Linked DNA regions of Caenorhabditis elegans. The protein of the gene in region 1 purifies or fractionates together with the protein of each later gene. This does not show direct contact. Each region holds a gene or a part of one and is shown on either strand. Other genes may lie near its edges. The genes, in order: ddx-27 and Y46E12BL.2.

Region 1 (3,921 bases):
TTTCTTCTGAAAAATTGCTTTTTTTGATTTTTTCTGTAATTTTTTTTTTGTTGATTTTCTTAATTTTTTTAATTTTCAAAAAATCTTTTTCATCTCTTTCTCTCTCTCTCTGAATCTCAATTTTTTCCTGAATTTCCCCGTTTTTTTCTGATAATTTTCAATATTTCTCTGAATTTTTCTATTCCCCCCGTTGTAATGCCAAAATATGTGGTAATTTCTCCCCATTTTTTCGCTTTATTACTATTTATTCTATTCAATTGGTGCCTCTCTCAATGTGTTGTATGAAAAACACTGTTTTATGGAGGTTTTGGAGAATTTTGAATTTTTTCGTCGTGATTTTTATTGGTTTTCTTTACCAATTCAATTTTTTTTTTAATTCGAAAATTTGTAGAAATTCACTTTTGTAGCTTAAAAAATTAAAAATTGAGAAAATTTGTTCAAAAATGGCAAAGTTTTCGAAATTTTAGTCTAAAAAAAGATTTTTTTAATATAGAATTTTAAAAAATTAGCACAGAAAAATGCCGAAAAATTCGTAATTTTTCATTTAAAAATGAAAAAAAAAAAAAACAAAAAAAAAAAAAAAAAAGAGGGAAAAATCCCATTAAAAGTAGTTTTTTGACTGCAAAATCGTCTGGAAATTAACAAAATTTAAAAAAATCTTTTTTACAGCCCATCGTTTCCAAAAACCAAATAAAATGCCAAAAAAAAATTTTTATGCAAAAATTCTGGATTTTTTTCCGATTTTTTCAAAAAATTCCCCCTTCTAAAAAAAATGGTGAATTTGTTCCCAAAAACCCAAAATTTGAGATTTTCTAAAATTTTGGCAAAAATTAAGAATTTCACGGTTTTGAGAGGGAAAAACTCCATTAAAATTGATGATTTTATGACTAAAAATTCCTAAAAAATCAATTTTCAGTCAAAAATTAAATTTTTTGAAATTCTAGCTAAACATTAAGAAATTCACGGTTTTGCGAGGAAAATCTATTTAAATCGATATTTTTTGACTGAAAAATCCCTGAAAAATCAAAAATTTTTGGCTAAAAATTGAGAATATTTTTTGTTTTAAAAAAATCATTGAAATTGATTTTTTTGTTTTAAAATTTCCATAAAAATCGCGGAGAAGTCAATTTTCAGTCATAAATCTTCTGAAAATTATCCAAACAATGGGATTTTCTGAAATTTTAGCTTGAAAATTGAGAATTTCCCGGTTTTGTCATGGAAATTCCATTACAATCGATATTTTTTGACAGAAAAATTGCTCTGGAAATTAACAAAAACCAAATAAAATGTCAATTTTTTTTAAATCCAAAAATTGTTGGATTTTTTCAGAAAAAAATATTTTTTCAATTGACTGGTGTCCAAAAAATATAGAAAATTCAAATTTTCCAAGAAAAATAGCCAAAAAAATGTAATTTTTGTCTAACAAAAAAATTGAATAGCGCAAAATTAAATTGTCGTTTTTTTTAAATTTCCCGGTTTTGAAAGGAACAAATTCCATAAAAATCGAAATTTTTTGACTGAAAAATCCGTGAAAACTAGAATTTTGAGTCAAAAATCCTCTGAAAATGCTCCAAAATATGAGATTTTCTGAAATTTTAGCTAAAAATTGAGAAATTCACGGTTTTTTCAGAGAAATTCCATTACAATCGATATTTTTCAAGTGAAAAATCCTCTGGAAATCAACAAAAACCCAATAAAATGCCCTAATTTTTTTAATCCAAAAAAATCTGGATTTTTTCAAAAAAAATTCCCTCCCCCACTAAAAAAATCGTATTTCCCAATTTTCAGAGCCAAAAAAAAAATGGTGAATTTGTTCCCAAAAACCGTCGAATCCGACGAAGAAATGGAAATCGACGAGTCGGACGACGAGCAAGTCCAAGACGAGGCAGTAACCGTCAGAAAGAAGAAGAAAATGGCGAATGCCGCCGAAGAATTTGCTCAGGATTTCATTTTTGAGTCAGGCGACACCCAATTTATCGATCGAGAAACCGAGGATCTTCAGAAATATCTGAAAAAGCAGACGCCAACGTCACTGGACGAGAAAATCGCCGAAATGAGAAAGTTGAAGAATACGGGAAAAGCTGTAATTGTTGAGGATGAAGCTGAAGCTGCTGAAGCCGAGGAGAAAGATGAAGAAGAGGATGATGTTCAACAATTGGGTGGAAAAGAGACACGAGATACTGTACGAGAGAAGAGAAAAAGTGGAAAATCAAAGAAATCCCAGGAAAATGAGGATTTCTTTTCGGCGCTGATTGATGGAAAAAGTCTCGACACGAGTGTTAATGTATCATTTGAACAAATGAATTTGAGCCGACAGATTTTGAAGGCGTGCTCCGGCGCTGGATATTCGGATCCGACGCCTATTCAACAGGCGTGTATTCCGGTCGCACTTACTGGAAAGGTGAATTGCTGTTTTGCGGAGAATTTTTTTTTTTGGAAATTTTCTGACAAAAAGTAGAGGTGGAGTAGTGAAATGTCTGGGAAATATTTTTATTTGACTCCAAATTATTATTTTGAAAAAAATTTAGGCAAAAAAGGATTGAAAAATCTTAAAATTAATGTTTTGGTTTATTTTTTGCCAAAAATCAATTTTAGTTTTTTTTTTACCTTTGGGAAAAATTGAAAAATTCAACATTAATGAAAAACTGGAAAGATGCCCGAAAAATCGTTTTTTTTTCCAAAAAAAAAATTTAAAAAGAGAAAAAATTGAAGAACATTCAAATTTTCCAAAAAAAATATATATTCTTCCGAAAAAAAAATTTTCACAAAAAAAAATACCAAAAACGGATATGTATATTGAAGGAACCAGAAATTTTTCGTTCTCAAAAAAATTTGCTTCCTTTTCAAAAAAAAAAACACAAAAAGCCAATGATTAACATTTTTGTCAGGACTAAATTTTTAAAAAATTCTTCAGCAAAAAATCAACTTTCACTTAAGGTAATGTTTCTATCATTTTTGCGAAAAAAAAAACAATTCTCGTGAAAAAAATTATTTTTTCTGAAAAAATAACCAGATTGGGGTTTTTTTTATTAGACTGCTGTCCAAAAAAAAATTGAAATTTTCAAAAAAAAAACAACAGGCGTGTATTCCGGTGGCACTTACTGGAAAGGTACTGCAATCTTGCGGAAAATTTTTTTTTGGAATTTTTCTGACAAGAATTAAAGGTGGAGTACCGAAATTTGAACCTTTGCTTTTTCCGACCCGAAATGGTCCAAAACTACCGAATTTCATAATGAGACTTCACGAAAAATTTCCAAAAATTTTTTATGGCCGGTCATAATTTCGAAAAAAAAGAGCCAAATTTTGCTAAAATCTGAAATTTCGCAAACTTTTCTTTGTCATAGCCGCTGGTTTTTAGTTTTTCTGAAATTATCACCTTTTAATCTTTATTTTGGTAATTTATATCACGGAAATTCGATGATTGAGACAACTTTTAGGCTGATAGGCATCCAAAAATATAAATTACCAAAATAAGGATAAAAAGGTGATAATTTCAGAAAAGTTAAAATCCAGCAGCTGTGACAAAGAAAAGTGTGCGAAATTTCAGATTTTAGCAAAATTTGGCTCTTTTTTTTTGAAATTTTGACAAGCCATAAAAAATTTTTGGAAATTTTTTGTGAAGTTTCATTATGAAATTCGGTGTTTTCAGACAATTTTAAGTCTAATAAAGCAATTTAAAAAATTCGACTACACCTCCTTTAAAAAAAAAGGACATTTAGTGATTTTTTTTTTCTTCAAAAATTGATCTAAAACTGTTCAATTTCAGGACATTTGCGCCTGTGCAGCGACTGGAACCGGAAAAACCGCCGCCTTCGTTCTTCCAATTCTCGAACGTATGATTTATCGTCCGAAAGGTGCCAGTTGTACACGTGTACTCGTTTTGGTACCAACTCGTGAACTGGCAATTCAAGTATTCCAAGT
Region 2 (3,921 bases), on another chromosome or scaffold:
AACTGAAAAACAAATAAATAACGTTTTCCAACGACGTTGAGAGCCTGAAATATTCAATTTCACAAATTTAGACTTTAATACCCGCTTTTTAATGAACAATTTACATTTATCTTGAATTTTTCGGTAAATTTCCAATAAAATTACACGAAAAAACATGAAAAATCAGTCAAAAATGCGAAAAATTGATGAAAAAAAAATTTTTTAAATGCAAGCGCGCTCCATCGAACGAATCAATTGGCGGAAATTCAAAAAGGAATTAGGGGAAAAGTGAGATTTTTTCAATTTTCAAAAAATCATATAAAATCTAGAAAATTATTTTGAATTTTTAATCATGGTATTCGGTCATTGTGACCCCATAGGCAAATATTATGCAAATTGGCCAGTTTTAAATGTTAAATACAAAAAGAAAATTTAGAAAAAGCGATTGAAAACCCAAACTCTTCAATTTTTTCAGCTACACGAGAATGTCACTACGGTTCGTGGAAGTGGAAGTATCCGTACGGGAATGGTCGAGATGGTTTCAATGTTCCTGAAAAGGTGAACAATTTTCCCAAAAAAAAAAACCGAAAAAATCAATTTCTGGCCATAAAACCCAAAAAAAAAACCATTTTCGCCAGATAAAAAATCAATTTTCGTTTTGAAAAACCCAAAAAAATCAAGTTTTGTCAAAAAAACCGAAATCTCAATTTTGCCAAAAAAAAAGTGGCAAAAATTATCTTTTGCCAATAAAATACCTATTTTTGGCAAAAAATCTCTTTTTGCTTTAAAAAAACCCAAAAAATCTCAATTTTGTAACAAAAAAAACCAATTTTTTGCCAAAAAATACCAAAAAAACCATTTTTGCTATAAAAAACAAAAAAAACATTTTTTTTTTTGAAATTTTTGATCAAAAACCCAAAAACAATCAATTTTCAGATCTATTGCATTCTGGACATGGAGCAAGGAAATCTGTCATTCGCCACAGACAACGAGTACCTCGGAGTTGTATTCCAAAATCTCCGGGGAAAACGATTATACCCAGCTGTGGCGACTCTTTATGGAGACTGTGAGATTACCATGACACATCTGGGATCACTGGAACGTGAGTTTTGTAAACGTGCGGCGCAGAAAAAAGGGTGTGATGGCTGTCTTTTTGTAGATCTCCTTCTCGGAGTTTCTTTTCTGAGAAATCGCGGTTTCTAAAATCATGTTTTACAAATAAAACCGAGCCGCGACGCGACACGCAACGCGCTGTGAATCGGCCACGGCCGGTGTAGATTTACGGCGCTTTGCGTGTCGCGTCGCGTCGCGGCTCGGCTCGGTTTTAGCTAAATTTTAGTTGTAAAAATTCGAGAAAAGCCAGAACCAAATCGAAATTCTTGTTTTTTTTTTTCAGCAGTCGAGATGCTACCGTTGTTCGAACTGTGTCGACGTCGTTTCCGAAGCATAATGGGACCAGACCCCGACAAACGCATCAAGCCGCTGATGATCCCGCCGGTTATGAAGGAATATTTGTTGTATGAGATTGAGTGATATTGATCATTTTCTCGCCAAAAATTCACATTTTTCTCCTCTTTTCCACTAACCCACAAATCCCCACGGTTTTTCACCACTTTTTTTTTTGCAAATTTCGCTGTCAAATTGTGAATTACTCAGATTTATATATTGAATATATTGCTTTTATACCTGAATGAAAATTGGAATTTTGTTTTACAATGTTTTAAAATATTTTGACTCTTTTCCAAAAGCTTTTGTCGTTCAATATCGCTTCACGATTTGAGTTTCCGCCAATTTCAATGCGTGACGGCCTAGAAAACGCGGGGGGACGCGGCCTCTGGACACCTCGGGTCTCGCCACGAAAACCGAACAATTTATTTTTTTTCGCTATTCTTCGCCGATTTCTTGCTGAGAATCTTGCATTTTAAAGGTTTTTTTCAGTTATTTTTTACTTAAAATCAATAAAATAAATTTTTGCGCACTCAAATTATCAGTTTTCATCGTTTTCCAACAGTTTATCGCCTTGTTTTAGGAATTTTCCATCAAATTTGTCATTTTTTCAGATAAAAACAATGGGAGGTGGCAATTTCCGTCATCGTACAAGTAAGAAGGGAGCAGCGAAATTTAATTCAGGATCAGCGTGAGTGAAAACGTCGATAAATTCGTTGAATATAATTAAATTTAATTGTTTTTTTGTTTTTTCAGATGTGAAAGCAACCCAACGAGAAGCAAGCATCGCGCCGCTGCCAATGCCGCTAGAAATGCTTCTTTCGGCGGAGCCGGCATGCTTGCCGTCGAGGATCGTCTCATGAACACCGCCGCCGCCGACGATATGCTGCTCTCGGCTCTTCCGATTCATTCGATGGATATCGGCTCTTCGTCGAAAAGCATGGTTTCCGAGGGAGGCTTGTCTAAGCTCTCCGGATTCACGGCTTGCACAAATCCTGCGTTTGATTCTGTCAATCGGGTCTGGAAGTGAGAATTTTAGCGTTTTTTCCAAAAATTCAACAAATTTCACGACCTCCTGGAGTGTTCATAATTATTAGAGCGCGCTGGCTCGGCACCTCACGAACTCCAGAATTCGCGGGAATTCGTTCAGCGGGGACAGCAGTTTTTTGCTATTTTTGGCTTCTATAAGAAATATTTTTGATTTTTTGTTTTATAATATTGTTGAGAAGCATCATCCGAATTGAAAATGTGTAAAATTATGAAATTTGCCCGAAAACTGAAAGTTTTACAGAAGGAAGTCATTATAGTTTTTAAAAAAATGTTTCAGGATTGCCAGTTTTGCGAGTTATGCGTCGTAAAATATGTCATTTTGTAGAGAATTAAAAGTTTCATGAGAATTTTCGTTTGAAATTTTAATTCTTTAATTTCTAATATAAAAATATTCAAAAAATCAACAATTTTACGTTAAAATCTTGTTTCTTAAATTTTTAAGCTTTTAATAAAAGCAATTTTAAATTTTCAAACGAAAATTCGTATGAAACTTTTAATTCTCTACAAAATGACATATTTTACGACACATAAAACGCAAAACTGGCGATCCTGATACATTTTTTTAAAACTGTAGTGGCTTCCTTCTGTAAAACTTTCAGTTTTCGGCTAAATTTCATAATTTTACACATTTTCAATTCGGATGATGCTTCTCAAGAATATTATAAAACAAAAAATCAAAAATATTTCCTATAGGAGCCAAAAATAGCAAAAAAACTGCTGTCCCCGCGGAACGAATTCCCGCGACTTCTGGAGTTCGTGAGGTGCCGCACGAGCGCGCTCTAATAATTATTTATAACACTCCAGGAGACCGGGAATTTTTTATTTTCAAATTTGATTTTAAACTCTTGAATCTCTTTTCCAAAGCACGAGCCGTAGACTGATAGATTTATTTCTTCAGATCTGGGTCCTCTATTCAAGCAGAGGTTGTCTCGGTTTTGGCAGCAATCGCTGAAGTCATCAAAGAGCGGGATGGTAGTTTAATTCCCCCATAATTTTAGGCCTAAAAATTAGGGATTTTCAGGCAAAGAATCCGACGTTGAGTACTGTGCGGCTCTGATGACCGCGCTGGAAGGATCCTCGCTGGGAAATCCCAGAAGAACGGCAGCAATCGCTTATCTGCTTCATCTGATTGTGAGAAAGGTGCCGAAAGAGGTGCTTCAAGCTCAGTTTCACAGATTTGTGCAGGTATGGGCTTTTTGTGAAGCAGCGGCAGTGGGGAAATTGCTTTAAAACATGCCTATGGGGTCACAATGACCAAATATCATGATAAAAATGTTCAAAAAAATTTTCCAGATTTTATATGATTTTTTGAAAATTGGAAAAATCACAATTTTCCCCTAATTTCTATTTAAATTTCCGCCAATTGGATTTGTTCGATAGAGCGCGCTTGCACGTTTTTTAATTTTGTTTATTTTATTTTTTGCTATTTATTTTCGTCCGATTTTT

Evidence for each region.
Region 2: the proteins of ddx-27 (region 1) and Y46E12BL.2 fractionate together in Caenorhabditis elegans (co-fractionation; one large-scale study listed by BioGRID). This does not show direct contact.

Annotation. Positions count from the first base shown.
Region 1 is NC_003279.8:1,766,099-1,770,019, forward strand, and holds the start of ddx-27 (RNA helicase), read left to right. Parts: upstream 1-1,788; 5' UTR 1,789-1,843; coding exon 1,844-2,401; intron 2,402-3,766; coding exon 3,767-3,921.
Region 2 is NC_003280.10:15,231,114-15,235,034, forward strand, and holds the start of Y46E12BL.2 (Ribosomal RNA-processing protein 12-like conserved domain-containing protein), read left to right. Parts: upstream 1-2,039; 5' UTR 2,040-2,048; coding exon 2,049-2,116; intron 2,117-2,181; coding exon 2,182-2,451; intron 2,452-3,373; coding exon 3,374-3,447; intron 3,448-3,496; coding exon 3,497-3,660; intron 3,661-3,921. Other genes in the region: spsb-2 (SPRY domain-containing SOCS box protein 1), read left to right, coding at 455-537, 916-1,081, 1,376-1,512.